Macaca mulatta: one gene and its partners. The protein of the gene in region 4 interacts with the protein of the main gene of each other region in a biochemical or structural test. Links are inferred from orthologs where the notes say so. Each region holds a gene or a part of one and is shown on either strand. Other genes may lie near its edges. The genes, in order: ESR1, ATF7IP, HTT, SP1, POU2F1, MAPK1 and E2F1.

The links.
Region 1: the proteins of SP1 (region 4) and ESR1 form a complex in vitro, tested with the Homo sapiens proteins (6 studies listed by BioGRID and IntAct). The link is inferred for Macaca mulatta from reciprocal best matches to the Homo sapiens genes SP1 and ESR1.
Region 2: the proteins of SP1 (region 4) and ATF7IP form a complex in vitro, tested with the Homo sapiens proteins (3 studies listed by BioGRID). The link is inferred for Macaca mulatta from reciprocal best matches to the Homo sapiens genes SP1 and ATF7IP.
Region 3: the proteins of SP1 (region 4) and HTT form a complex in vitro, tested with the Homo sapiens proteins (2 studies listed by BioGRID). The link is inferred for Macaca mulatta from reciprocal best matches to the Homo sapiens genes SP1 and HTT.
Region 5: the proteins of SP1 (region 4) and POU2F1 form a complex in vitro, tested with the Homo sapiens proteins (3 studies listed by BioGRID and IntAct). The link is inferred for Macaca mulatta from reciprocal best matches to the Homo sapiens genes SP1 and POU2F1.
Region 6: of the proteins of SP1 (region 4) and MAPK1, one has a biochemical effect on the other in vitro, tested with the Homo sapiens proteins (2 studies listed by BioGRID). The link is inferred for Macaca mulatta from reciprocal best matches to the Homo sapiens genes SP1 and MAPK1.
Region 7: the proteins of SP1 (region 4) and E2F1 form a complex in vitro, tested with the Homo sapiens proteins (4 studies listed by BioGRID and IntAct). The link is inferred for Macaca mulatta from reciprocal best matches to the Homo sapiens genes SP1 and E2F1.

What each region holds. Positions count from the first base shown.
Region 1 is NC_133409.1:70,391,526-70,395,628, forward strand, and holds the start of ESR1 (estrogen receptor), read left to right. Parts: upstream 1-1,303; 5' UTR 1,304-1,436; intron 1,437-4,103.
Region 2 is NC_133416.1:16,943,279-16,945,536, forward strand, and holds the end of ATF7IP (activating transcription factor 7-interacting protein 1), read left to right. Parts: intron 1-860; coding exon 861-1,280; 3' UTR 1,281-1,758; downstream 1,759-2,258. UniProt on the Homo sapiens protein: Recruiter that couples transcriptional factors to general transcription apparatus and thereby modulates transcription regulation and chromatin formation. Can both act as an activator or a repressor depending on the context.
Region 3 is NC_133410.1:3,254,538-3,258,554, forward strand, and holds the start of HTT (huntingtin), read left to right. Parts: upstream 1-1,217; 5' UTR 1,218-1,356; coding exon 1,357-1,592; intron 1,593-4,017.
Region 4 is NC_133416.1:60,525,951-60,530,086, forward strand, and holds the start of SP1 (transcription factor Sp1), read left to right. Parts: upstream 1-1,336; 5' UTR 1,337-1,375; coding exon 1,376-1,382; intron 1,383-1,886; exon of another isoform or gene 1,887-2,083; coding exon of another isoform or gene 2,084-2,165; intron 2,166-2,722; coding exon 2,723-2,880; intron 2,881-3,175; coding exon 3,176-4,136. UniProt on the Homo sapiens protein: Transcription factor that can activate or repress transcription in response to physiological and pathological stimuli.
Region 5 is NC_133406.1:24,774,584-24,778,637, forward strand, and holds the start of POU2F1 (POU domain, class 2, transcription factor 1), read left to right. Parts: upstream 1-1,254; 5' UTR 1,255-1,471; coding exon 1,472-1,532; intron 1,533-4,054. UniProt on the Homo sapiens protein: Transcription factor that binds to the octamer motif (5'-ATTTGCAT-3') and activates the promoters of the genes for some small nuclear RNAs (snRNA) and of genes such as those for histone H2B and immunoglobulins.
Region 6 is NC_133415.1:31,183,087-31,186,586, forward strand, and holds part of MAPK1 (mitogen-activated protein kinase 1), read left to right. Parts: intron 1-718; coding exon 719-901; intron 902-2,833; coding exon 2,834-3,023; intron 3,024-3,500. UniProt on the Homo sapiens protein: Serine/threonine kinase which acts as an essential component of the MAP kinase signal transduction pathway. MAPK1/ERK2 and MAPK3/ERK1 are the 2 MAPKs which play an important role in the MAPK/ERK cascade.
Region 7 is NC_133415.1:86,450,472-86,453,971, reverse strand, and holds part of E2F1 (transcription factor E2F1), read left to right. Parts: intron 1-642; coding exon 643-733; intron 734-1,084; coding exon 1,085-1,304; intron 1,305-3,346; coding exon 3,347-3,499; intron 3,500-3,500. UniProt on the Homo sapiens protein: Transcription activator that binds DNA cooperatively with DP proteins through the E2 recognition site, 5'-TTTC[CG]CGC-3' found in the promoter region of a number of genes whose products are involved in cell cycle regulation or in DNA replication.

The DNA of each region.
Region 1 (4,103 bases), on a different chromosome or scaffold from region 4:
TATGCTTTTCGTGTGAACATACCTAAAGCATATACACGTAACCAGAAAATTAAAAGATGGAAAAATCTGCAGAGAGTGACAAAGGAAAGCTGGTGCATTTGTATTAGTATCAGATAAAGCTCATGTTTAGATAAAAAACATTATAGTAATAGAGGAAGTCAAAAGGTTAAAGTTTCAATTCACCAAGAAATATCCATTCTAAACATGTATACATACCCAATTAAGCTGCCTCAAAATATATATGACAAAAATTTAGAGAATTGTAGAGTCAGATATAAGGATTGAAAAGGAAGAAATGAAACTAATTATTTTCAGATGATATATACATTTACATAAAAAACTCCAAAGAATCTTCAGATAAATTATTAGAAATTGTAGGAGAGCTCAGCAAGAAGGCAGGATATAAAATTAATATACAAAAGTCAATGTCATTTCACTATACCAGAAAAAAGACAATAACATTAGAAAATAAATCTAACATAAGATGTAGAAAAACTTATTAGAGGCAAAATTTTCTTGAGAAATATTAAAGAAGATCTAAATAAGTAGAATTACATCATATTCATGCATAAGAAGGCAACATTTTGAAGATGTCTTGTTATATATAGGCCTAGGAATAATATAGTTTTAAGTTATGTTATTTTGAACTGTAGGTGAAAGAAAGCTCTTTTTTTTCCTTTGAGTATTTTAAGATTTTGAATAAAGTCATAGTGCTCTAGGAAGGTTGTAATATTTTATACTTCGCCAGCAGTGTTTGAGAATGCTTACTTCCTACATTATAACCACCATAAATATTTAAAACCTGATAGCACACAGTTTTAAAAATTTGAAATTCTCCAATTAACAGTGACCTTTAAAAATTATGTTTACTGGTCTCCATTATTTTGTCCTTTGTAAATTTTTATTAGTTTTTCTGTTCACATGTTCCATTTTTAAAATAGACTTTTAAGAGCTGTTTGTATTAAGAATATTAAGGCTTTGTCCCTATAATTAGTATTTTTCAGAATATCCTTTCTAGGTACAGTTTTTCAGTTCTAGTGCACAGAATGGAAACTTGTTACCTGCTATACCACATTTTCACTAGGATGTGATGTATTTATCACAAACAACAGTATTGGTCAACATTTTCCCTCGCTGTGAAGTGCACATTTGACATCCTTTAGAAAAATTACTGACGGTTTTGAGACGATTGTTTTGTGCTTTCTTTCAGTCAACGTAATTTTCCCGAAAGCAGAGATGACTCTTCCAGACATGCTAACAATGCCTGAACAAACTGTGTAAGCTTAGTCCAAAAAAAATATTTGATTAATAGATTTTATTTTGGTAGATTCTAAGGTTCTAAGCAGTCAGAGAAATAATCGCAGAGCCTCAAATATCTCCAAAATCTGATACCAATCCCTTTGATTGTGAATTATATTCTGTAGCTACCAAAGAAGGTAAGTTTTAATTTTTTCTACTCTATTAACTTTCTCTTGGGCAACTGAATATTAAGATGACTATGTAAGGAGGTTATCAGACCAAGGCCTCACACATCAGGATAAAAGCACATGCCATAGAAAGAACATTTGTGTCTCACAAGGTGATACCAAGGCAAGGCTATGGGATATATATGGGCACAATGTTGATATCTTCAAAGACTTAATACATAGTCTGGAGGTTTTCAGAGATTTTAATTTATAATGACAATCTTTCAAATTAGGAGAATTTTTGGACTGTAAAGTTAGCCAAACAAGTCTTCAATGATAAAAAACGTCTATATCTTACACAGGGGGAATACATTTTTTGTTCGTTTTAATTTTTTCTCTGTCTATTCATACAGGGGCATCACATGTCTTTATCATTAAAAACTCTGATTTAGATAGACAGTTGTAGAGAAATTTAATGTGTGAGAATTTAAAGTTGTTTTATAAAGATGTAGCAAAATACAAATTTAAGACCCACAGCACCAATGAAAAAGGGAAATTAATTAAACTAGACAACTTTTATGGGTACTACCCATTAAAATTAAAATTTTAGTCATTGTAAATTATATTACATTGTAACAGTTTTCAATCTGTTGTCAAGTTGAATATTTTGGTTGACAATTGTATTTCACAGTTGTTCACACTTTGCATAATTTTCTAAGGAAAATGAGTCCCTTGGGGAGAAAATTGTTCTAAAATTTTGTTGTTGGATAATGTTGCTGCACTAACATGATTTGCTGAAGTGGATCTACCATGTGTGTTTAGGTTTTTGTTCTTTACGAAATGTGTTGGGTGAAATTTTCCATAACACTGGTGAACTTTTCATGCTAATTTTCCAGTCCGTCAGTTTAAATATTATGCATTTTTTCCTGCGAATCTATCTTGAATCTGAAAAGGCCCCAGAAGGAATTAGCATGAGTCCAGAGTAGATGGACTGCAAATGTTACTCATATTTCAACATGTATCCAGCTTTCAGAAATAGCTTACTGAAATCAAGGTTGAACCACATGAAATTTTGGGGTTTTTTTGGATGTAAAAAAGGTTAAATATTGACATTTTCATATCATCCAATCTAATATCTTCCTCTAGTGAGGTTCTGGCAAAAAAAAAAAAAAAAAAAAAGTATGATGACCCAAGTTGTTCACTCTTTTAAGCTTTATATTTCAAAATATTTTTAAAATTTAAAGCCATATAAGTGCATCCCAAAAAACATGGGAAAATTTTGTAGGCTACTTTTGTTTACTGATTTTTCTTCTATAGATTTATTTTTATGCTATGCCTGACTCTCCAATTAGATTTTAGTCATCCAGGAAAGTACAATTGCTTGTACTTCTAAGCAATTCTCCCATCACCTGGACATTAACTGCAGCCCACACTGCAGTGTCTTGACTGCAGTAGGCACTCAGTAAATATTTATTGATGGTCCTGATTATGGGATGATGAAATATGCTAAAGGTAACTTAAACTTTTGTCAATAAAACTGAGTTTCAGGTTAGTTTGACCTTTTCCGTATCTCTAAATATTTTCTTTCATGTCATTTTTGTGAAATAGCTCACAAAAGTACTTATTGATTCTGAAATCCTTTTCCCCTCTGGTATTCCTGAGCTATTCTCACACACAGCACACCAGTGCCACCGTTTGCTGTTTTGGTTAAAATCATTCTCATTAATATTCCTCATTCAGTAAAAATAGTTGATTCTCAGTTATAAATATACACTTCATATTGGCAATGTGGGATGGAAAACAAAATGATGATATTGACTCCATAAGATAAACAGCAGTCTTTAGAATAGAGTTTGGTGCATAACTGTTCTAAATGTATCAAAGTTATCTCATTTAATCCTCCCACACACCTGTGGGAAGAGAGTATTTGTCTTGCTTTACAGATAAGGAAGCTGAGGCTTAGAAGATTCATATGTCTAACTAAGATCACAGAGCTGGTAAATCAGCCAAGTTTGAGTCTAAATCCAGGTTTTAAATATCATATTACATGTAGGCATAGATAAGCAAGAACAGGTTTTCCTGAAGATGGCCAGGCTAAGGCTTAGAAGAAGGAAGCTCAAGGAGACTAAACCAAGATATGCTAAGGCAAGTTTTTTTGTTTGCTTGTTTGTTTTTGAGACCGAGTTTCGATCTTGTTGCCCAGGCTGGAGTGCTGTAGCATGATGTTGGCTCACCACAACCTCCGCCTCCTGGGTTCAAGTGATTCTCCTGCCTCAGCCTCCCGAGTAGCTGGGATTATAGGCATGCACCACCATGCCCAGCTAATTTTGTATTTTTAGTAGAAACGGTGTTTCACTATGTTGGCCAGGCTGGTGTCGAACTCCTGACCTCAGCTGATCCGCCCACCTCAGCCTCCCAAAGTGCTGGGATTACAGGCATGAGCCACTGCGCCTGGCCTGCTAAGGTAAGTATTAACCATTAGAGATGACTAGTCCCAGTGACAGGTCTTTCCTACTGGGAGTCAGCCAAGAGCTCCCCACTTTTCTGGTTCCGTTGTTCCTCCTGCAAAGTTCCATTCATAAAGTGGTTTCCCATTTGATTGTCCAATGATGCAAATCTCCAGTCCTTTATAGCATTGAGTTTCTCATGGCCTTTTACCGTTGAGTTTCTCATGGCTAATGAATGCTAATGAATTGG
Region 2 (2,258 bases), about 44 Mb from region 4:
CAATGTCACATTATCCTGTGACACAATTTTGTCAGTGTTTGACTGGTATGAAGTATCATCATAATGACGATGATGTTCCAGTGTTAGAAAAGTCAATAGGACTTCCTAAAGTTAGAGTCACGTTTTTTTCATCATCTGGCCTTAACCTACCTTTCCAGATTTTTCTTCATGTACCCTATATCCAAGAAAAAGTTAATACTTGTTGTCCATACGTCCCCTCACTTTCCTGTCCACATGCCTTTGCTCATGCTTTATTTTTGGCTGAAAGGTACATGATTATTTCTGTATCTCTAGATCCTATCTTTCACAGTTCAGTTTAAATATCACCTTTTTTTTGTAAATTGGCCAAGAATATAGTACACATTCAGTGTTAATACGCTTATTTATAAGAATATGCTGTTGTCTTATATTGCAAAATAACTTAAAAATGAAAGTATAGTTGTATTCTCCAATTTTATATGATCTTGATTGCCATACATGATATTTTAAAATGTTATACTGAAGTGATAATCTGTAACATAGATAATTCAATCATAAATTATTTTGTTAGAAGTAGATCATTATTTCCGTGTTCCTCAAAATGATGTTCCATCAGCAGGGGCTTTTTATTTCCTAAGAAAAACTCAAAATATTTTAGGTCTAGGAAATAGAGCAGGAATAACCTCAGCATCATTGTTTGTGGCATCATTCATTACAAAACCCCAAATAGAACTTGCCAAATTTGATATGGTGTTTGGTATTTCCTAGAATTCTTGATGTAAAATGGTATCTCTATGTATGTTCTCTAAGGTGTTTTAATCCTAACATTCTAAAATGTTCTTTTTGCGATCATTATAAATCAGTGTGACTTGTTTTTTTAGGAGCCGCCACGCCCTGTGCACCCAGCACCCTTACCAGAAGCTCCACAACCACAGCGTGTGCCCCCAGAAGCTGCCAGCACATCTCTGCCTCAGAAGCCACACTTGAAGTTAGCACGAGTTCAGAGTCAAAATGGCATAGTACTGTCATGGAGTGTCCTGGAGGTGGATCGAAGCTGTGCCACTGTTGATAGCTACCATCTCTATGCTTACCATGAGGAACCTAGTGCCACCGTGCCCTCACAATGGAAAAAGATAGGGGAAGTCAAGGCACTTCCCTTGCCCATGGCATGTACTCTCACCCAGTTTGTATCTGGTAGCAAATACTACTTTGCAGTACGAGCCAAGGATATTTATGGACGTTTTGGGCCTTTCTGTGATCCTCAGTCAACAGATGTGATCTCTTCCACCCAGAGCAGTTAAACCTTGGAGCCTTTATATTTTCCTCTTTTAAAATTTCCACCTTTTGGTCTTGTTTTTAATCTTGTGCATGATACCCCATGTAAAATCCACCTTGTGCAAGATTTCTTGGACAGATGTGTGTATACACTACATTTGTTTATAAACAGAAGCAAAATAAACTCAGCCCACAAAGCTAGAATCTTTTCCTGGACAGTTTAGGCTTTGGGGTTTGGAAATGTAAATGTGTACCTTGCTTTAGTTTTGAGGCTGGGGAATATGTGTGGGTGTTTATGTGTGTTTTTCCCTATGTATGTGTTACTGCATTGGAGTCTCCCATTTTTATTCTCAAATTTACCTCTTAAAGTACGAAGTAGTAGATCAAAGGATCTGAGATGTGTAACTGGCATGACTCTGCTTTTAAAGGATCTGTAGGATCATTTTAGTTAAATGGTTTAAACAGAATCAAAACAAAACCCAAAGAAATGAATTAAAAACAAAATGGCTAAATAGTTTAAAATAGGTTGATTCGAACACAGGAAAGGATCTATTTGTTGTTTCTTTTGTCTGGTCTCCTAAGTTATTAATTAGGTTAAAAAAGATCTGCAATGGCCCCCTCCCTTTCCTGATCTGGCTTTTACATTTATTTTGTGCCTTAAAGATTAACTACAAAAATAAACATGGCCAAAAATAAATAAATAAACATGGCCATATGTCCATGGTTGCTTACTCTTCCCTTGCAGCCTTTTTACCCTTGATTTCTTGCACACCTCCTCAAGTAATTTTTTTTTTTTTTTTTTAGATGGAGTTTCGCTCTTGTTGCCCAGGCTGGAGTGCAGTGGAGTCTCAGCTCACTGCAACCTCCGCCTCCTCCGTTCAAGCAATTCTCCTGTCTCAGCCCGAGAGTAGCTGGGATTACAGGTGCCCGTCACCATGCCCGGCTAATTTTTGTATTTTTAGTAGAGATGGGGTTTCACCATGTTGGCCAGGCTGGTCTCAAAC
Region 3 (4,017 bases), on a different chromosome or scaffold from region 4:
GTGCCCCAGGCGTGAGGGGGTGCCCCACAGATCTCTGCTGAGCTGAGGCTGAATGGCACCCCTTGGGGGTCCTGCCAGGTCAGAGCAGGGTGCTTTCCCATACAGAAACGCCCCCAGGTCGGGACTCATTCCTGTGGGAGGCGTCTTGTGGCCACAGCTGCTTCTCGCTGCACTAATCACAGTGCCTCTGTGGGCAGCGGGCGCTGACCATCCGGGCCTGCCTCAGACCCTCTCCTCCCTTCCGGGGCGCTGCGCTGGGACCGATGGGGGGCGCCAGGCCTGTGGGCACCGCCCTGCAGGGGCCGCTCCAGCTCACTGGGGGGTGGGGAGGGTCACACTTGGGGTCTTCAGATCGCGCCGACCACGCGCAATCTCTGCGCTCTGCGCAGGGGCTCGCCCACCCTCTCCCCGTGCAGCGAGTCCCCAGCAGGCTCCCCGCAGGGCTGTCCAGGTGAGCCTGGCTCTGGCCGCGGGCCAGTGTGGCGGGCGGGCAAGCCCCGAGGCCACCTCGGCTCAGAGCCCACGGCCGGCTCTCGCCCAGCTCCAGACGTCTGCGAGGGTTCCATTCCGCTTGGGCCGGCGTCCCGCGCGCCGCGCCCTGGCCCCGCCCCTCCCTCACCCCGCCCCCTCTGCACCCCACCCCTCCCTGGCCCCGCCCTCCGCACCCCACCTCTCATCTTCCCGCCCCGCCCCCAGCCACGCCCCTCACGGTCAGCCCCCTCCCCTATCCGCCCCGCCTCTCATCGTCTCGCCTCGCTCCGCCCCTCAGCCGTCCCGCCCCTCAGCCGCCCTGCCTAATGTCCCCGCCCCCAGCCTCGCCCCGCTCCGCCCCAGCCTCGCCCCGCCCCGCCCCTCAGGCGCCCTGCCTGCTGTGCCCCGCCCCAGCCTCGCCACGCCCCTCGTTACCATGTAGTCCCGCCCCGTCCCTTCCGCGTCCCGCCTCGCCCTGCCCCTTCACAGCTTCGCCCCACCCCATTACAGTCTTGCCACGCCCCGTCCCCTGTCCGTTGAGCCCTGCTCCTTCGCCCAGGTGGGGCGCTGCGCTGTCAGAGGCTTTGGTGGCTCTGTGAGGCAGAACATGCGGGCGCAGGGACTGGCTGGCTCCCTGGCCAATCATTGGCAGAGTCCGCAGGCTAGGGCTGTCAATCATGCTGGCCGGCGTGGCCCCGCCTCCGCCGGCGCAGCGTCTTGAGACGCAAGGCGCCGCGGGGGCTGCCGGGACGGGTCCAAGATGGACGGCCGCTTCGGTTCCGCTTTTACCCGCGGCCCAGAGCCCCATTCATTGCCCCGGTGCTGAGCGGCGCTGCGAGTCGGCCCGAGGCCTCCGGGGACTGCCCAGCCGGGCGGGAGACCGCCATGGCGACCCTGGAAAAGCTGATGAAGGCCTTCGAGTCTCTCAAGTCCTTCCAGCAGCAGCAGCAGCAGCAGCAGCAGCAACAGCCGCCGCCGCCGCCGCCGCCGCCGCCGCCGCCGCCTCCTCAGCTTCCTCAGCCGCCGCAGGCACAGCCGATGCTGCCTCAGCCGCAGCCGCCCCCGCCGCCGCCCCCGCCACCACCCGGCCCGGCTGTGGCTGAGGAGCCGCTGCACCGACCGTGAGTTTGGGCCCGCTGCAGCTCCCTGTCCCGGCGGGTCCCAGCCTACGGCGGGGATGGCGGAATCCTGCAGCCTGCGGGCCGGCGACACGAACCCCCCCGGCCCCGCAGCGACAGAGTGACCCAGCAACCCAGAGCCAATGAGGGACACCCGCCCCCTCCTGCGGCGAGACCTTCCCCCACTTCAGCCCCGGTCCCGCACTTGGGTCTTGTCCTCCCGCGAGGGGAGGCAGAGCCTCGTTGGGACCTGTCCTGAATTCACGGAGGGGAGTCACGGCCTCAGCCCTCTCGCCCTTTCCAGGGTGCGAAGAGTTGGGGCGAAAACTTGTTTCTTTTTATTTGCGAGAAACTAGGGCGGGGGTTTAACTGTGTTCTGAAGAGAACTTGGAAGAGCCGAGATTTGCTCAGGGCCACTTCCCTCATCTAGTCAGAGAGGGAAGAGGGCTGGGGGCGCGGGACACCTCGAGAGGAGGCGGGGTTTGGAGCTAGAGAGATGTGGGGGCAGTGGATGACATAATGCTTTTAGGACGCCTCGGCGGGAGTGGCTGGGGTGGGGGGCGGGGAGTGAGGGCGCGTCCAATGGGAGATTTATTTTCCAAGTGGCACTTAAAACAGCCTGAGATTTGAGGCTCTTCCTACATTCTCAGGGCATTTCATTTAGTTCATGATCGCGGTGGTAGTAACACGATTTTAAGCACCACCTAAGAGACCTGCTCATCTAAGCGCAAGTTAGTGTGCAGGCATTTGAATGAGTTGTGGTTGCCAAATAAGTGGTGAACTTACGTGGTATTAATAAAATTATCTTAAATATTAGGAAGAGTTGATTGAAGTTTATTGCCTGTTTGTGTTGGGAATAAAACTAACACGTTGCTGAGGGGGAGGTTAATTGCCGAGGGATGAATGAGGTATACATTTTACCAGTATTGCAGTCAGGCTTGCCAGAATATGGGAGGTCTGCAGACTCCGTGGACATCTCATGTGCCAGTGAAAGGGTTTCTGTTCGCCTCATTGCTGACAGCTTGTTACTTTTTGGAAGCTAGAGGTCTCTGTTGCTTGTTCTTGGGGAGAATTTTTGAAACAGAAAAAGAGACCATTAAAACATCTAGCGGAACCCCAGGACGTGGGAGTGTGTGCTGAGTGTTTAGCAGGATTTAGGAAGTACTCCGCTGCAGTTCAGGCCTTTCTCTTACCTCTCAGTGTTCTATTTCCGATCTGGACGTGTATCAGATGGCATTTGATAAGAATATCTCTATTAAGACTGATTAATTTTTAGTAATATTTCTTGTTCTTTGTTTCTGTTATGATCCTTGCCTTGTCTTGAAAGTTTAATTAGAAGAGGAGGATTTGGAGAGCAGTGTTAGCTTATTTGTTAGTAAAATTTAGGAATAAATTCTTCTAAAGGATGGAAAAACTTTTTGGATATTTAGATAAATTTTTAAACAATTTGGCTTATCTCTTCAGTAAGTAATTTCTCATCCTTCCAGAAATTTACTGTAGTGCCTTTCTAGGAGGTAGGTGTCATAGAAGTTCACACATTGCATGTATCTTGTGTAAACACTAAACTGGGCTCCTGATGGGAAGGAAGACCTTTCTGCTGGGCTGCTTCAGACACTTGATCATTCTGAAAATATGCCGTCTCTTTCCTGTGCTGATTTGATAGAACCTGCGTTTGCTTATCTTCAAAATATGGGTATCAAGAAATTTCCTTTGCTGCCTTTACAAAGGAGATAGATTTTGTTTCATTACTTTATTTTAAGGTAATATATGATTACCTTATTTTAAAAATTTAATCAGGCCTGGCAAGGTGGCTCATGCCTTTAATCCGAGCACTTTGGGAGGCTTAGGCGGATGAATCACCTGAGGTCAGGAGTTCGAGACCAGTCTGGCTAACATGGTGAAACCCCATCTCTACTAAAAGTACAAAAATTAGTTGGTCATGGTGGCACGTGCCTGTAATGCCAGCTACCTGGGAGGCTGAGGCAGGAAAATCGCTGGAACCCGGGAGGCAGAGGCTGCAGTGAGCTGAGACTGCGCCACTGCACTCCAGCCTGGGTGACAGAGCGAGACTCTTGTCTCAAAAAAAAAAAAAAAAAAGAAATTATTATTTTTGCATAAGTAATACATTAACATGACACAAATTCCGTAATTACAAAAGAGCAATACTTAAAATATCTTCCTTCCACCCCTTTCATCTGAGTACCTAACTTTGTCCCCAAGAACAAGCACTATTACAGTTCCTCCTGTATCCTGCCAGATATAATCTATGCATATTGTAAGATAGATTTAAAATGCTGTAAAAATAAAAGTAGTTTACAGTAATAATTTTTTTTCTTTATTTTTTTTGAGATGTAGTCTCACATTGTCACCCAGGCTGGAGTGCGGTGGTATGATCTTGGCTCACTGCAACCTCCACCTCCCAGGTTCA
Region 4 (4,136 bases):
GGAGGCCAGAAATCCAGGTGCCTGCAGTAAAGTTTAACCTTCGTGATTGCAAAAAGCAGGAGCTCAACTATCTTGCTTTATGCATAGGCGGTATTTACTATTAACTCGGAAAAATGGAAGTGACTTATCCGCACTTTAGCCTCAAAGCTTGAAAAGTTAACCAGTCGTAAGTGGTTAGCGCCTTTGTCTGGCGGAACTTAACAAAATGGCGTTTTCTGGAATCTTACGGAGACTCTGCATATTGGTCAGCTCAGTATTAACTTATTTGGTGAGCGCTGTCCCCAAATCCCGTTCCGGCTGCACTCGCAGGGCTTGCAGCGACATTGAGGTATCTGCCCGCCTGTCCGCCCACCCGGGAAACGGGTAAGATTTGAGAGGTACTTTATAGGGGCAGTTAAATGAAGACTCAAACAAATCCTAGTGTTGATGCGGAACTGCGCGCCGAATGCCTTGGCTCTGACACCTGTTGAGCTGCAAGACTTCACTAAAGCGTCCCACCTAATGACTGTAACAACGTCCCCTGAGGTGGGCCAATATGGCGACGGTCTCCTCTTGGCACAGCCCTCTTCCCTCCCTCATGATGGGCGGCTCCGGTAACGCCCATTGGCCAACTAGGAGGCGGTGCCAGGCTTACTTCGTTCCCTCATTGGATTGAATAACTTAGGGAGCCGCCAATTCTCCTCTGCCACTCCAAGTTTCCGCCCTCAGAGTTAATCTGGCGTTTAATTGGCTTTTAATTCACGTCAATATGCGTCCTTTCCTGTCTTTTTTCAGTCTTAATCCAATCATAACTTTCCTGGCTGCCCGCCTGATTTCTGATTGGTTTTAATCAGCTTCAGCCTATCCTATTCCTGTCTACTTCTTACCTCTCCTCCCACTAGGATTTTGCCCAAGCATATCCCGGATTCTAGTTGGCCGTTGTTCTGTCATTCCTATCAAACCTTTCCCTATCCCAATGTCTCAGGGAGCCCGCCTGCCGGTTGACTGGTTTCCTTCCAAGCCAATAATCCCCAGCTCCCGCCCATCTTCACTTCCTGCATCTTTCATTGGCTTTTAACACTGAGAGGGCTGTCTTTTTGGGCGGACACCAGGCACGCAACTTAGTCTTACACGCCTTAGAGAGCAAGCGAGTCTTGCCATTGGAAAACCTCACCGTCTTTCTTCTGCAAGTCCCACCTTTCCCCCTCCCTCATTGGGCGGGGCAGCAGAGAAGGGGCGGGGCATAGGTTGGGCTGGTGGCGCGCTGCTCCCTCCTCCTCACCCCCCCCTCCCTGTCCGGTCCGGGTTCGCTTGCCTCGTCAGCGTCCGCGTTTTTCCCGGCCCCCCCCAACCCCCCCGGACAGGACCCCCTTGAGCTTGTCCCTCAGCTGCCACCATGAGCGGTAAGGATGAGTCCACTCCAAGCTTAGGGGTGGGAGGCGAGTGAGGGGGCGCGCGCGAGGGCCGACCGGGCGATCCCCGCCGTGAGGGGGGGCGGGCGGGAGGCGGCGGCGGCGGCCTAGGTCCCGCCCGGGGCGGAGGGAAGGGAGGGAGACGGGGCAGTGGCTGGGCCTCCGAGGAGGAGGGGGATGGGCCGCCCGCCCCGGGGGAGGGGGCAGCGTGGCCTCGCCCGCCCCCTGCCCGCCCCGGCCACGGGGGACGGGCCTTACCCCCCACTACTCGGCCGCCCGCCTGAGGCTCCTCCCGCCGGGGGCTGGAGCCGCGGGGGCGGCCCGAGCAGTGAAGGCCCCGCCCGGGCCAACCGCTTGTCTGGTCCGTCCTCTGGTCGCCGCCTGCTCCGGCGCCCTCCTCCCCCCACTTTCCGTAGATTTCCCTTCCCCCCGCCCCACCGTCCCGCCCTTTCCACGCCCCTCACCCCGAAACCGCCCTTTCCCTCAGGGCCCGCCCTCCGCCCCGAAACCTCCTGACTACTAACCAGTACACCCCTTTAGTTCCTTAGTAGTATTCACAAATGTTTTCCTACTAAAACTTTTTATTTCTTTTTCCCTTCTCCTCTTGTTACTTTTAATACTTGGGTTTTTGTTTATCTCTCTCTTTTTTTTTTGAGAGGGAGTTTCGCTCTTGTCGCCCAGGCTGGAGTGCAATGGTGCGATCTCGGCTCACTGCTACCTCCCGGATTCAAGCGATTCTCCTGCCTCAGCCTCCGGGAGTAGCTGGGATTACAGGCATGCGCCACCACACACGGCTAATTTTGTATTTTTAGTGGGGACGGGGTTTCTCCTTGTTGGTCAGGCTGGTCTCAAACTCCTGACCCCAGGTGATCCTCCTGCCTCAGCGTCTCAAAGTACTGGGATTACAGGCATGACCACCGCGCCTGGCCTCTCCATCTCTTTTAACCTTAATTTTAGCAATCTTTCCATCCACCCACATATTGTTTTTTGCCTTACTTGTCCTTTTTTCCCTTAGGATACTTTTTCTTATTTTGAAACTCTTTCAGCATGACTACCATCCTTCACATTTCCTATCCCCAAAGCACTTTTTGAATGTTTTCTTAGTTAATTTTGTGTAAGGGAGAATTGAGGCCCACTTTTGGCACCATTGAGCCTAGTTCATGTCCTGCATGCCCTGCAGCTCCCCTCTGCCCTCCAATCCATTTTCTTTATACTGGCGCCTTTCGCCTTCCTGTTAGTCATTGCTATTTCATCATAGCCTCCTTTTATCCTTCCTACCTCATCTCTTTTCTTCCCTCAAGTTTAAGTTGTTTGTTTTTTAATTGTTTTAGACCAAGATCACTCCATGGATGAAATGACAGCTGTGGTGAAGATTGAAAAAGGAGTTGGTGGCAATAATGGGGGCAGTGGTAATGGTGGTGGTGCCTTTTCACAGGCTCGAAGTAGCAGCACAGGCAGTAGCAGCAGCAGTGGAGGAGGAGGAGGGCAGGTAAGTGATAATAATAGAGTGGGGAAGATGTTGAGAGGATGTAAATATTCTTAGATAATTGCCTTACTCTTCATAGAAAGCTTTTTAGGGAGCTTATCAAAACCATTTTATAGATAAGAAGTAAGAGTATGGAGATCCCCAAAGACAGGAGTTTCAGCAATACAGATAGGTCAGCTTTTTGTTTCTGTTTTTTGCTCCTTGTCTGCACTACGTTGCTGTTTATTTGTTGTATACTGCCCCCTAGGCTGGCAGCTGGGTGTCACTAACTCCTTTCCTCTCCCTTATTTTTGGCCAGGAGTCCCAGCCATCCCCTTTGGCTCTGCTGGCAGCAACTTGCAGCAGAATTGAGTCACCCAATGAGAACAGCAACAACTCCCAGGGCCCGAGTCAGTCAGGGGGAACAGGTGAGCTTGACCTCACAGCCACACAACTTTCACAGGGTGCCAATGGCTGGCAGATCATCTCTTCCTCCTCTGGGGCTACCCCTACCTCAAAGGAACAGAGTGGCAGCAGTACCAATGGCAGCAATGGCAGTGAGTCTTCCAAGAATCGCACAGTCTCTGGTGGGCAGTATGTTGTGGCTGCCACTCCCAACTTACAGAACCAGCAAGTTCTGACAGGACTACCTGGAGTGATGCCTAATATTCAGTATCAAGTAATCCCACAGTTCCAGACCGTTGATGGGCAACAGCTGCAGTTTGCTGCCACTGGGGCCCAAGTGCAGCAGGATGGTTCTGGTCAAATACAGATCATACCAGGTGCAAACCAACAGATTATCACAAATCGAGGAAGTGGAGGCAACATCATTGCTGCTATGCCAAATCTACTCCAGCAGGCTGTCCCCCTCCAAGGCCTGGCTAATAATGTACTCTCAGGACAGACTCAGTATGTGACCAATGTACCAGTGGCCCTGAATGGGAACATCACCTTGCTACCTGTCAACAGCGTTTCTGCAGCTACCTTGACTCCCAGCTCTCAGGCAGTCACCATCAGCAGCTCTGGGTCCCAGGAGAGCGGCTCACAGCCTGTCACCTCAGGGACTACCATCAGTTCTGCCAGCTTGGTGTCATCACAAGCCAGTTCCAGCTCCTTTTTTACCAATGCCAATAGCTACTCAACTACTACTACCACCAGCAACATGGGAATTATGAACTTTACTACCAGTGGATCATCAGGGACCAACTCTCAAGGCCAGACACCCCAGAGGGTCAGTGGGCTACAGGGGTCTGATGCTCTGAACATCCAGCAAAACCAGA
Region 5 (4,054 bases), on a different chromosome or scaffold from region 4:
AATGACTAAAACTTTAGCCGTTAAAATAATTGCTCTCACTTGGAAATCAGTTTTGTTTTTAAGTGTAGAACCGACAATTCTACCCAATTTAAGCTTCAGTCGTATCTCTCAAGACAGATTAACTAGAGCTGATTTAAAAACAAAAAACAAAAAACAAAACTTTGCTTACCATGAAATACACCTTTCTTTTTATTCTGAAAAAACAAAAAACCAAGCCTAGAAAAACCTTAGGGCTTTAAGAATTAGTAAAATAATTAGACCTGGGACTTTGTCCAGGGAATTTCACCATTTAAGATAAAACTCAGCAACATTTGCTACCAAGAAAGATACGTGCAACGGGAAACCCTTCCCCAATACCATATTTACTGTGAGAAACACAGTAAAATAAAATTCACGATGAAGTTACGGTTGATTTCGACATTTTTATTAGTTATCAGCTTACTGCTAGGTTTTAAAAGGTGTTCCAAGGCGGGAAAAAGGAGGGGAAAGCCTCAGAAGATGGGGTCTGTTTCGATCGAGGGGAGCGGCGTCAGAGGGGCGTGAAGGCAGAAAGGAAGGGTAGGACGGAAATTAGCGACTTAATAAGACGCCTAGTTGCCGAGGTAGCCAGCTGGGCGTTAGAAGCAAGTAGAGCAGAAGAGATTTAGGGCTAATTAAAACAATCACAGGACACTCCCCCTCGCGTTTGCCGGGGCCGGGTCTCCTGCATTGGCAGAGCCGGGGGCGGGGATTAGTTCGGATTCAAATTTAAAGCGGGAGGCCCGCGTGTGGCTCAGCAGGTGTCTCATGCCCGGCCCCCGCTGCGGTCGTTTCCGCCTCTACCTGCCCAGAGGGCCGGAAATTACCTAGCGAGGAGCGGCTTGTCCATTGTTGCCAATGTTTCAACTGCGCGGAAAGCCTGAAGAAAGTACGGGGCACAGGGCACGCGGGCCGCCCACTGCCCCTCCACGCGGCCCCACGCTCCTGGCCGCTGTGCTCCTTGCCCTGCATTTACAATGCCACGGGCCACTGGGGGAGACCGGAGCGAAGCCGGGAGGGAAGCAAAGCGGGAGGAAAAGGGAGAAGTCTTAAGACATCACAAACGCCCATGGCACTATATAATCTGGTTCCGAGCTAGAGGGAGCGCATGCGCCGGCCACACTTCAGGCGCGTGGAGATAGGCGCGCATGCGCAGAGCCGAGATGAAAAACGAAGCGAAGGGGTGACGGGCAGATTGAGGGCGCTGCTTTAGCTACCGAAAGGCCACAGCGGCCCGAAGGCGCGTGCGCAGAGCGCGGGACGGGGGTGGAGCTCTTCTGAGGGGGCCGGGGCGAACAGCGCCGGCCTCGCGCGCCCCCTGGCGCGCGCCCGGGGAGAGGAAGGAGCGGGAGGGGGCGGAGAGGAGGGAGGAGGCAAGCAGGGCGGGAGGGGGGAGGGGAGGCAGAGCGAGGGAGGGTTTATCGACCGGGCGATTTTGGTTAAAATATTCAAAATGGCGGACGGAGGAGCAGCGAGTCAAGATGAGAGTTCAGCCGCGGCGGCAGCAGCAGCAGGTAATCATTACAGCATTTTACATATTCATATTCATACTCAACCCCGGCTCCCGCTGCCCCCCCCGCGACTTAGCATAATTTATTAGTACTCAGGATTATTATAATTAACGGCGGGGAGATGGGGGGCCGGGGAGCACGGAGCCCCCGCCGGGCGCCGAGCGGAGGGGGAAAGAGGCTCGGAGCGGCCAGGCGGAGGGGGAAGACAAGGGGCAAAGGGGGCTGCAATCCACCGCCCTCCTCCTGCCCCTGGCCCACCCCGCCGCCGCTGGCCGCTCGCCGCCCGCCGCCCGCCCGCCGGCACCGGCCCTCCTCCTCCGCCGGCCGCCGCTGCCGCCTCCTAGCCGCCTTGCCCGAACCCGAGCGGGTCCGCGGCGGGGCGGCGGGGCCGGGGCAGAGGGAGAGGACAATAAAGACATTTTACATATTCATAGCTGCTGGGCTGGCGGGGCGCAGTGGGGCGCGGGCGGGCGGCTGGGGCCGAGCGGGCGCGGGGTGGGGGGCGTGGAGGGGGATGGAGGCGGCGGCGAGCACAATGCCGGGGAGGCGGCGGGGCCGGAGCGGACCCCGGCGGCCGGACACCCGCACGCGTCTTCCCCCGGGAGCGGGCCCGGGCGGGGGGGCGCTGCCCGCCTCGGGGGGCGGCCCTCAGGGCAACCGGGGGTGCGCGCGGGGAGAGCTCCCTGCCCGCGCCCCGCCACCGCACGGGGGTCCAAGCGGGGCTGAGCCCGGGGGTCACGGCCCCAGGCACCTCGGCCGCGCCCCAGTGGTCCCCGGTGTGGTGGCCTGACCCAAGCCAGGCCTGCTCTCTAGGTGGGTAGGGGTGAGCGGTCGTGGGCGCTAAGAGGTGGCCTGGGGCGGCGGGGGTGGGGAACCCGCGCAGGGGTCTGCGTCGCCCCCCTAGGGGGTGGACTGGGTTGGAAGGAGTCCTTGGGGCAAGTTCCTTCCGAGGGGATGTCCTCTGGGGCGGTCCGCGCGCCCCTGGCCGGCGGCCGGCAGCCCCTTTGCGTCGTCCGCCGGGGCTTCGCGGGCGAGTTGGGCTGGAGGTGCCTGGCGTGGTCTGACCTCCGTCTCCCTTTGCCCCTCCCCGCTGCCCCCCCCACGCCGCTCCCCACACCCCTTGCGCCTGACCGGGACGCACGGGGCGGGTGGCCCTCCGGGGCCTCTCGCTCCGAGGCCCTAGAAGCTCCCAGAGGCCTCCCGAGAACTTGGATGTAAAGGGCTGCCCTCCTGCCCCAGAATGGGCTGGCCTGACAAGTTGATCTCGATTTCCTCTCTCCTGTTGGGAGTCGGTGGGGAGGGACGGGGATCCCCCTCCCTTCTTCTGTGGCGGTGTTTTCTCGCTGGGTGCTGGGTCGTCTTTACTCTCTGCTTAGCCGAACCTCTTCTCATTTGAATAATGTCTAATTCGGGGAGGTTTATATTATTGAAATGGCCGCCTGGCTTTCCCCGCCTCTCATGTTTAGTAATTCAGACCTTTAATAACAGCCACTCACAGCCCAACGCCGTGTTTATATTTTACATTCGCCCCATGTGCTTTTGTGGTTCGATATGATTCTTTTTTTTTCCTTGGCAATCCACAGGGCTCTGAGATCAAACCCAGGCCGTGCTGGGAAGAGAGGGGGAAAGCTAGGCCTTGGCTCCTCTAGCAGTTGCCTAGGCCTCATGTTCTGTGCTGCTTGATTTATTTACTAATAACCAAAATGACTACCTCCACCAACTTCCACACACTTTCCCCTCCTCCGCGGGCAAAACAAACTCTCTTGGGGCTTTACTAGCATTAAAACAGCTCATAGCTAAGTATCAAGTCTGATATGGTTTGTTTTCTCTTAAAAAGACTTTCTTATAGTTTGCAGTAGTATTGGGCCTAGGGGGAAAAAATCTGTCCTGTATTTCATTTTCAGAGCCTATGAAATTTATTTCGGTTTAATCCAAATCACTTAGTTTTGGGGATAGGTACCCCGCTTGCTCCCCACCCCCATGTTAAATACTTTAAGGCTTTGTAAAGATCTGCAGTATTTGTGAAACTGAGACATTTTTCTTTTCCTCTAAGAGTTGTGGAGTAGCTAAATATTAGAAATTCCAATTAACACTTTCATAATTTCTTGCTGTGGTGCTCCCTTTCGAACATCTTCATTCTTATTTAAAATGGAGCTGACGTAAATTTTGTGCTTTCATTGTCATAGACTTGCTTATTTTAATTGTAGCATTACTGAAAACAAAAATGGGGTTATGTTTTCTTTGAGTATTTGTGTCATGGTTAAATGAGTGAAAAAAGAAGAATAAACACAGGCATTGTGTTTACCCTGATCTTGGAACTTATTCTCCCAGCACACCCGCCCCTCTTCTTTAAGTTGTCAGAATTGATTTTATGTTTTATCTAGACTTAGGACAGTTGGCCTGTGAGAGGCAGGTTAACTTTTACTGTTTAGAGGAAACAGTAATTTTGATTTTTGGTCTTTCCTGGGGTAAAATTTTCTTTAACATTTTTATTTTGTGTCGGGGTGTGTGTGAGTGTGAGTGTG
Region 6 (3,500 bases), on a different chromosome or scaffold from region 4:
TATCATAAAGATAGTAGTAATTCTCAAGATTCAAATTCATAAAATTGAAGGTATAATTTTTATTATTGCTTTTACTTAGAATTCTGGTATATTAGACATTAAGGACAACTTGGAAAGAACTGGGCCCCATGTTGCTGCCGCAGATGTGTTTTTCGAATAATACTTTCTAGGTTTTCTTATAAAACTACCCAAACATCTTGATTCAGTTTCTTGGAAGAAATGGTCATGTCATTTTGCAAGTGAGAGAAACAAAGTTGATACAAATCATCAAGGTGTTCTCTTGGGTCCATTTTTGTTAGGGATAAAGATGTACTGTTGTCGGTTATTTGAATGTCTCTTCTGTGTCAGAGGAATTTGATACAACAGTAGGAAGGTGTTTTGGAGGCAGAAGTGATTATTCTCACCAGAATGCAGTTGCCGTTTAAGACAATGGGAAAATGCTTGTTTGTGTATTTCTGGGTTTATGAAAATACACATTCACCCAGTTAACAGGTCTAGGTTCTGTCTTAGTTTTGAGAGTCGCTGTATGCTATCTCATGTCAGTTGCATCCATCCTCCCTAGCTTGAGGCCTTTTTGTGGATAATATACATGCTACCTTCACAGGTATGAAACAGGTGTTTACACAGAGTGTTAAAAATATAATACTTTGCCAGTTTGCATTCTTCAACTATTCTGAGGGCTGTTTTTAATGCCATCTGTCTTTCTCTCTCTTTTAAGCTCTGCTTATGATAATGTCAACAAAGTTCGAGTAGCTATCAAGAAAATCAGCCCCTTTGAGCACCAGACCTACTGCCAGAGAACCCTGCGGGAGATAAAAATCTTACTGCGCTTCAGACATGAGAACATCATTGGAATCAATGACATTATTCGAGCACCAACCATCGAGCAAATGAAAGATGTGTATCCTTTTTAGGCAACTAGCCAATTCCACTGCTTGGTAACTTTGTTGAGTAAATAGAACTTGAAATTTCCTAAACTTAAAGGAAAAGTGCTTTAAACATGCTAAAGGGAAAATCGTCATCTGTTTGCCATTTACTCCCTAAGTCTAGTCATGGAAAATCTTGGTTAACTCCATTTGCAGTCATGTTTTTTTCTGTCTAAGAGATGGTTTGTTGTGATGATGAAAAGGTAAAGGGAAGATCAGTAGTAGACTAAGAAAGAGGGTGCCCTGGCTATCTACTGGGTGAAATTAGGACTGTCCTGATCTTAGAATCAGGTCACCACTTTAGGTCTCAGTTTCCCCTCCTTTAAAATGAAGGAACTAGTTGTCATGATCTTTAAGGTCAACTGGGCTCTGAAATTATGTGATTAACTATGACCAACATTTAGATATCTGGACTGAATAGGTCTAGAGGATGCTGCCTGGGCAAAGACTCCATTTGAAAGATAGAGAGGTTAAGTATACTGAAGAGGATCTGCCAGAAGGGAGAGGGTTATACAGCACTCCTACCAGTTTACCCAATTTGTATTCCACCCTCCAGGGTGCGGGAGCTCGCTGTCTCTAGGCAGCCCTTTCCATTTTTAAACAGCTCTGTTAATAAGTTGTAGTGATATTTGAAGTGAAATGCCTCCTGCCACTACCACCTGTTGGTCCTACTTTACTTTTGCCATGAAAATAAGCCTCTCTCAAATGACAGATTTTAAAATCATGTTTCCTTTGAATCCCATGCTGCGCCGCCTCTAGCATAAATCTGTAAGAAACAGAGAATATTATTTACACAGAGAGAGTAAAAAAAATGCAGAAATACTGCTAATGAAATAATACTATGATGAAGTTAAAGGCTAAATGCTTTAATAATTTAATTTCTGTTAGAAAGAAAGTAGCCAGCCGGGCGCGGTGGCTCAAGCCTGTAATCCCAGCACTTTGGGAGGCCGAGGCGGGCGGATCACAAGGTCAGGAGATCGAGACCACGGTGAAACCCCGTCTCTACTAAAAATACAAAAAATTAGCCGGGCGCGGTGGCGGGCGCCTGTAGTCCCAGCTACTCAGGAGGCTGAGGCAGGAGAATGGCGTGAACCCAGGAGGCGGAGCTTACAGTGAGCCGAGATCGCGCCACTGCACTCCAGCCTGGGCAACAGCGTGAGACTCCGTCTCAAAAAAAAAAAAAAAAAAAAAAAAAAGAAAGAAAGAAAGTAGCCATAGCTGAAGTTTTAGGTAGTTAAATAAGTGACCAGGCAAGAAAGCAAGAGGAGCAAAACACGCACAAACCCCTTCTTAGCACGACTTGCCCATAGTCTTATTTAGGATCTTAACAGTTATGGGAGAGTAAGAAAATAGATAGACTTAGGGTTGGATTTACTAGTAAGGGTATGTTTCTAGACCTGTATTTCTGGAAGTTTTATGTTTGGCTTTTGAGGAACTTGGGAAAGGAGGGGAGCGGCAACAAGAAGGAAAAAGAATAGTGACATTACAGGTTACTGGACCAAACAGAGGAGGGAATATGTGCTACTTACAGGCCACCAGTATTTCCAACAAACCTTGGAGGGGGTTCGTTGATGGTGGACAATTTAGAGAACAAAGAGGTTGAGACTTGAAGATTGACCAGAATTTCTGTAACAGCCTGTTTCAGATCTCAGTCTAGGCCCATAGCTGCATCAGTCAGATGTAATGCCGTAATTCTTGCCATCTCACAGGACCGAAAAGAAGTTAACGACTTCAGGTTCCTTCCATGAAAGAAACCAAGTTTTCCTCAGGTTTTTCTTTCCTTTAAGGGCCTCATAGTGTAATAATGGACTGTTTGGGAAGAGAGTCAAGAGAGGACGCATTTTTGTTTTCAACGCTTTGCTAAATATGACCAGCTAATTGGTGTTTTACTTAACCATTGCAAACAGATATATAGTACAAGACCTCATGGAAACAGATCTTTACAAGCTCTTGAAGACACAACACCTCAGCAACGACCATATCTGCTATTTTCTTTACCAGATCCTCAGAGGGTTAAAATATATCCATTCAGCTAACGTTCTGCACCGTGACCTCAAGCCTTCCAACCTGCTGCTCAACACCACCTGTGATCTCAAGGTCAGCCAGGTTATTAACTATTAAGCTGATATATATTGAAAAACTCTTTCACTGAAGCGTAGTTATATTTGTCATTATCGTATTTTAAATGACACTAGAAATGCCCAAAAACATTTTTATGGCAAAAATGCTAGTAGAGTGATAGTCCTCTTCTTCCTTATCCCATTGCTCCTTTTTCCCCAGAGATACTTTTTTTTTTCTTTTTTTTTTTTAAGATAGAGTCTTAGTATGTTGCCCAGCCTGGTCTGAACTCCTGGGCTCAAGCAGTCCTCCTTTCTCGGCCTCCCAAAGTGCTGGGATTACATACATGGGCCACAGCACCAGGCCAAGATAACTAACTACTGTAACAAATTGGTGGCCGTTTGCAGTGGCTCACGCCTGTAATCCTAGCACCTTGGGAGGCCGAGGTGGGTGGAGCACCTGAGGTCAGGAGTTCGAGACCAGCCTGGCCAACATAGCGAAACCCCATTTCTACTA
Region 7 (3,500 bases), on a different chromosome or scaffold from region 4:
AAAGTGCTGGGATTACAGGCGTGAGCCACCACGCCCGGCCTAAACATTTCTTATATAGTTTTTGTGGGTCAGGAATTCAGGGAAGACTTATCCAGCTCTCGCTTGGGGTTTCTGGAGGTTCAGCCAGTGTTTGGGGTCTGGCTGCTAACAGAAGTTGTGACTAAGTGTTGCTGTTGGGAAGAAGCTACAGTTTCTTGCCTATCATTGGGGCTACTTGAATGTCCATATGACATGGCAAAGTGACCTAATACAGAGCAAGGAGGAAGCTCCAGTGCCTCTGACCCGGTCTCAAAAGTGACACGCCATCCCTTCCACCACATTCCATTCATCAGAAGCAAGTTACCAGATCTAGCTCATAAAGGGGAGGAGAATTAGGCTTCATCTTTTGAAGGAGAAGGATCAAAAAGTTTGCAGATGTGTTTTAAATCCACCACTAGACCCCAGAGAAGTGAAAATTGAGTGTCCTGTGTAGTAGGACTGTGACTTTCAGGCTGTGTCTTCTCTGATCTCCCTCAGTCACACACTCAGGCATCCTGCTAGAGAAACTGAGGCGGGGGTAGTCCAGAGGCACCCAGCCTTCAGCCAGGTCTCTTCTGGCCTCACTTCTGGTTACTGGGCATCCTCCCATTGTTTTCGCCACAGGTGAAGCGGAGGCTGGACCTGGAAACTGACCATCAGTACCTGGCGGAGAGCAGTGGGCCAGCTCGGGGCAGAGGCCGCCATCCAGGAAAAGGTAACTATGAAGCTTGGGCTGGGCAGGCCCCCTGTGACCAGGCCCAGGTTAGGGGTGTGAACAGACAAACAAGTTTGCAAGCTAACATCTGGCTTGTCGGGCTTGAGCCAGGCCTCTGAGGACCCTGATGGGCAGTGGGAGTGGCCACCTGGCTTGGTTTCTCCAGGCCCTGAGGGGTGAGGAGTTCCCCGGCCAGAAGAAGAATGCTGTGGTTGGCCTCGCCAAGGGGAAGGAGCTGGCTGTCCCCCAGCCCCTATCATCCTGCGGCCCTGCCCTGCCAGAGTAGCAGGCCTGGCTGGAGGTGGGGGTGGATGCTGAAGGGCCCTGTCTTGCCTGACCACACCCCCGCAGGTGTGAAATCCCCGGGGGAGAAGTCACGCTATGAGACCTCACTGAATCTGACCACCAAGCGCTTCCTGGAGCTGCTGAGCCGCTCGGCCGACGGTGTTGTCGACCTGAACTGGGCTGCTGAGGTGCTGAAAGTGCAGAAACGGCGCATCTATGACATCACCAACGTCCTCGAGGGCATCCAGCTCATTGCCAAGAAGTCCAAGAACCACATCCAGTGGCTGTAGGTACCGGCCACACAGGAGGGCAGGCACACCTGCCCATGCCAGCCTGGAGGAGCTGGTAGTAATACCCACTGTGGCTGCCTGCATCCCCATCTTACAGCTAGGGAAATGGGCTCAGAGAGGAGAGGTAGCTTCCCTGAGATGATAGATGGTAAAAAGCACACAAATGTTACATATCCACCTCACTTGTAGCTTTACTTTTTTCTTTTTTCTTTTTTTTTTTCTTTGAGAAGGAGTCTCGTTCTGTTGCCCAGGCTGGAGTGCAGTGGCGCGATCTTGGCTCACTGCAAGCTCCGCCTCCCAGGTTCACGCCATCCTCCTGGCTCAGCCTCCGGAGTAGCTGGGACTACAGGTGCCCGCCACCACGCCTGGCTAATTTTTTGTATTTTTTTAGTAGAGACGGGGTTTCACCGTGTTAGCCAGGATGGTCTCGATCTCCTGACCTTGTGATCTGCCGATCTCGGCCTCCCAAAGTGCTGGGATTACAGGCTTGAGCCACCGCGCCCGGCCTCTACTTTTTTCTTTTTAGATGAAGTTTCACTCTGTCACCCAGGCTGGAGTGCAGTGGTGCGATCTCAGCTCACTAAGATCACCTGAACCTCCACCTCCCAGGTTCAGGTGATTTTCCTGCCTCAGCCTCCCTAGTAGCTGGGGATCCAGGCGCCTGCCACCACGCCCAACTAATTTTTGTATTTTGTAGTAGAGATGGGTTTCACCACGTTGGCCAGTCTGGTCTCGAACTCCTGATCTCAGATGATCTGCCTGCCTCAACCTCCCAAAGTGCTGGGATTACAGGCGTGAGCCACCACGCCTGGCGCAGCTTTACATATTTATTCATCTGGGTTGCCACCATTCAGATCAAGATAGGAGCATTTTCAACACCCTAGAAGGTTCTCTTGTGCCCCTTTCCAGTCATTGCCAAGCCTTCATACCGCCAGGTCACCACTATCCTGGTTCTCATGCCCTCATGAGGTCTGTCTGGCATAGATGTTTTATTTTATTTATTTATTTTTTTTGAGACTGAGTCTGGCTCTTTCGCCCAGGCTGGAGTGCAGTGGCCGGATCTCAGCTCACTGCAAGCTCCGCCTTCCCGGGTTTACGCCATTCTCCTGCCTCAGCCTCCGGAGTAGCTGGGACCACAGGCGCCCGCCACCTCGCCCGGCTAGTTTTTTGTATTTTTTAGTAGAGACGGGGTTTCACCGTGTTAGCCAGGATGGTCTCGATCTCCTGACCTTGTGATCCGCCCGTCTCAGCCTCCCAAAGTGCTGGGATTACAGGCTTGAGCCACCGCGCCCGGCAGATGTTTTATTCTTTTACTTGTTTTATTTTCCCCCTCCCGCCTTCGCCCCAGTCATCCTGCTACTACCCTTTCTTTGATACAAACACCTGCCTTTTCATTTTTTGGTAGATTGTTCCATTCTGCATCTTTTGTGTTTTTTTTGGTGGGGTGGGGGTGCGGTTTGAGACAGGGTGTTGCTCTGTTGCCCAGGCTGGAGTATGGAGGCACAAATACAGTTTACTGCAGCCTCAACCTCCTGGGCTCAAGCCCTGTACCTGTAGCTAGGACTACAAGTACATGCCACCATGTCTGGCTAATTTCTTTAATTTGGTGTAGAGGCAGGGTCTCACTGTGTTGCTCAGGCTGGTCTCAAACTCCTGAGGCTCAAGCAGTCCTCTGGCCTCAGCCTCCCAAAGTGCTGGGATTATAGTTATAAGCCACCAAGCCCAGCCTTTTCTTTTTTTTCATTTGACAGCATGTCTTGGAAATGCTTGTGTGTGTGTGTAATATTTCGTGGCATGTCAGTTCCATCATTTATCCCACCCTGGTTGAGGGACATGAAGGTGTTTATATTTGGGCCAGACTTCAAGCCCATGACACTCTGATTTGGAGCCCAGCTGAGGAACCAGACCCAGAGAGAAGCAAGGGCTTGCCTGGGCCTCACAGAACAGAGGTGGCAGCAGACTCTGTCCTGAGGGCCAGGGCTCCTGGCCAGAGGGGCCAAGTGCTGCTAACCCTACCCTCCCTGGTGCCTCCCCACAGGGGTAGCCACACCACAGTGGGCGTCAGCGGGCGGCTTGAGGGGTTGACCGAGGACCTCCGGCAGCTGCAGGAGAGCGAGCAGCAGCTGGACCACCTGATGAATATCTGTACTACGCAGCTGCGCCTGCTCTCCGAGGATACTGACAGCCAGCGA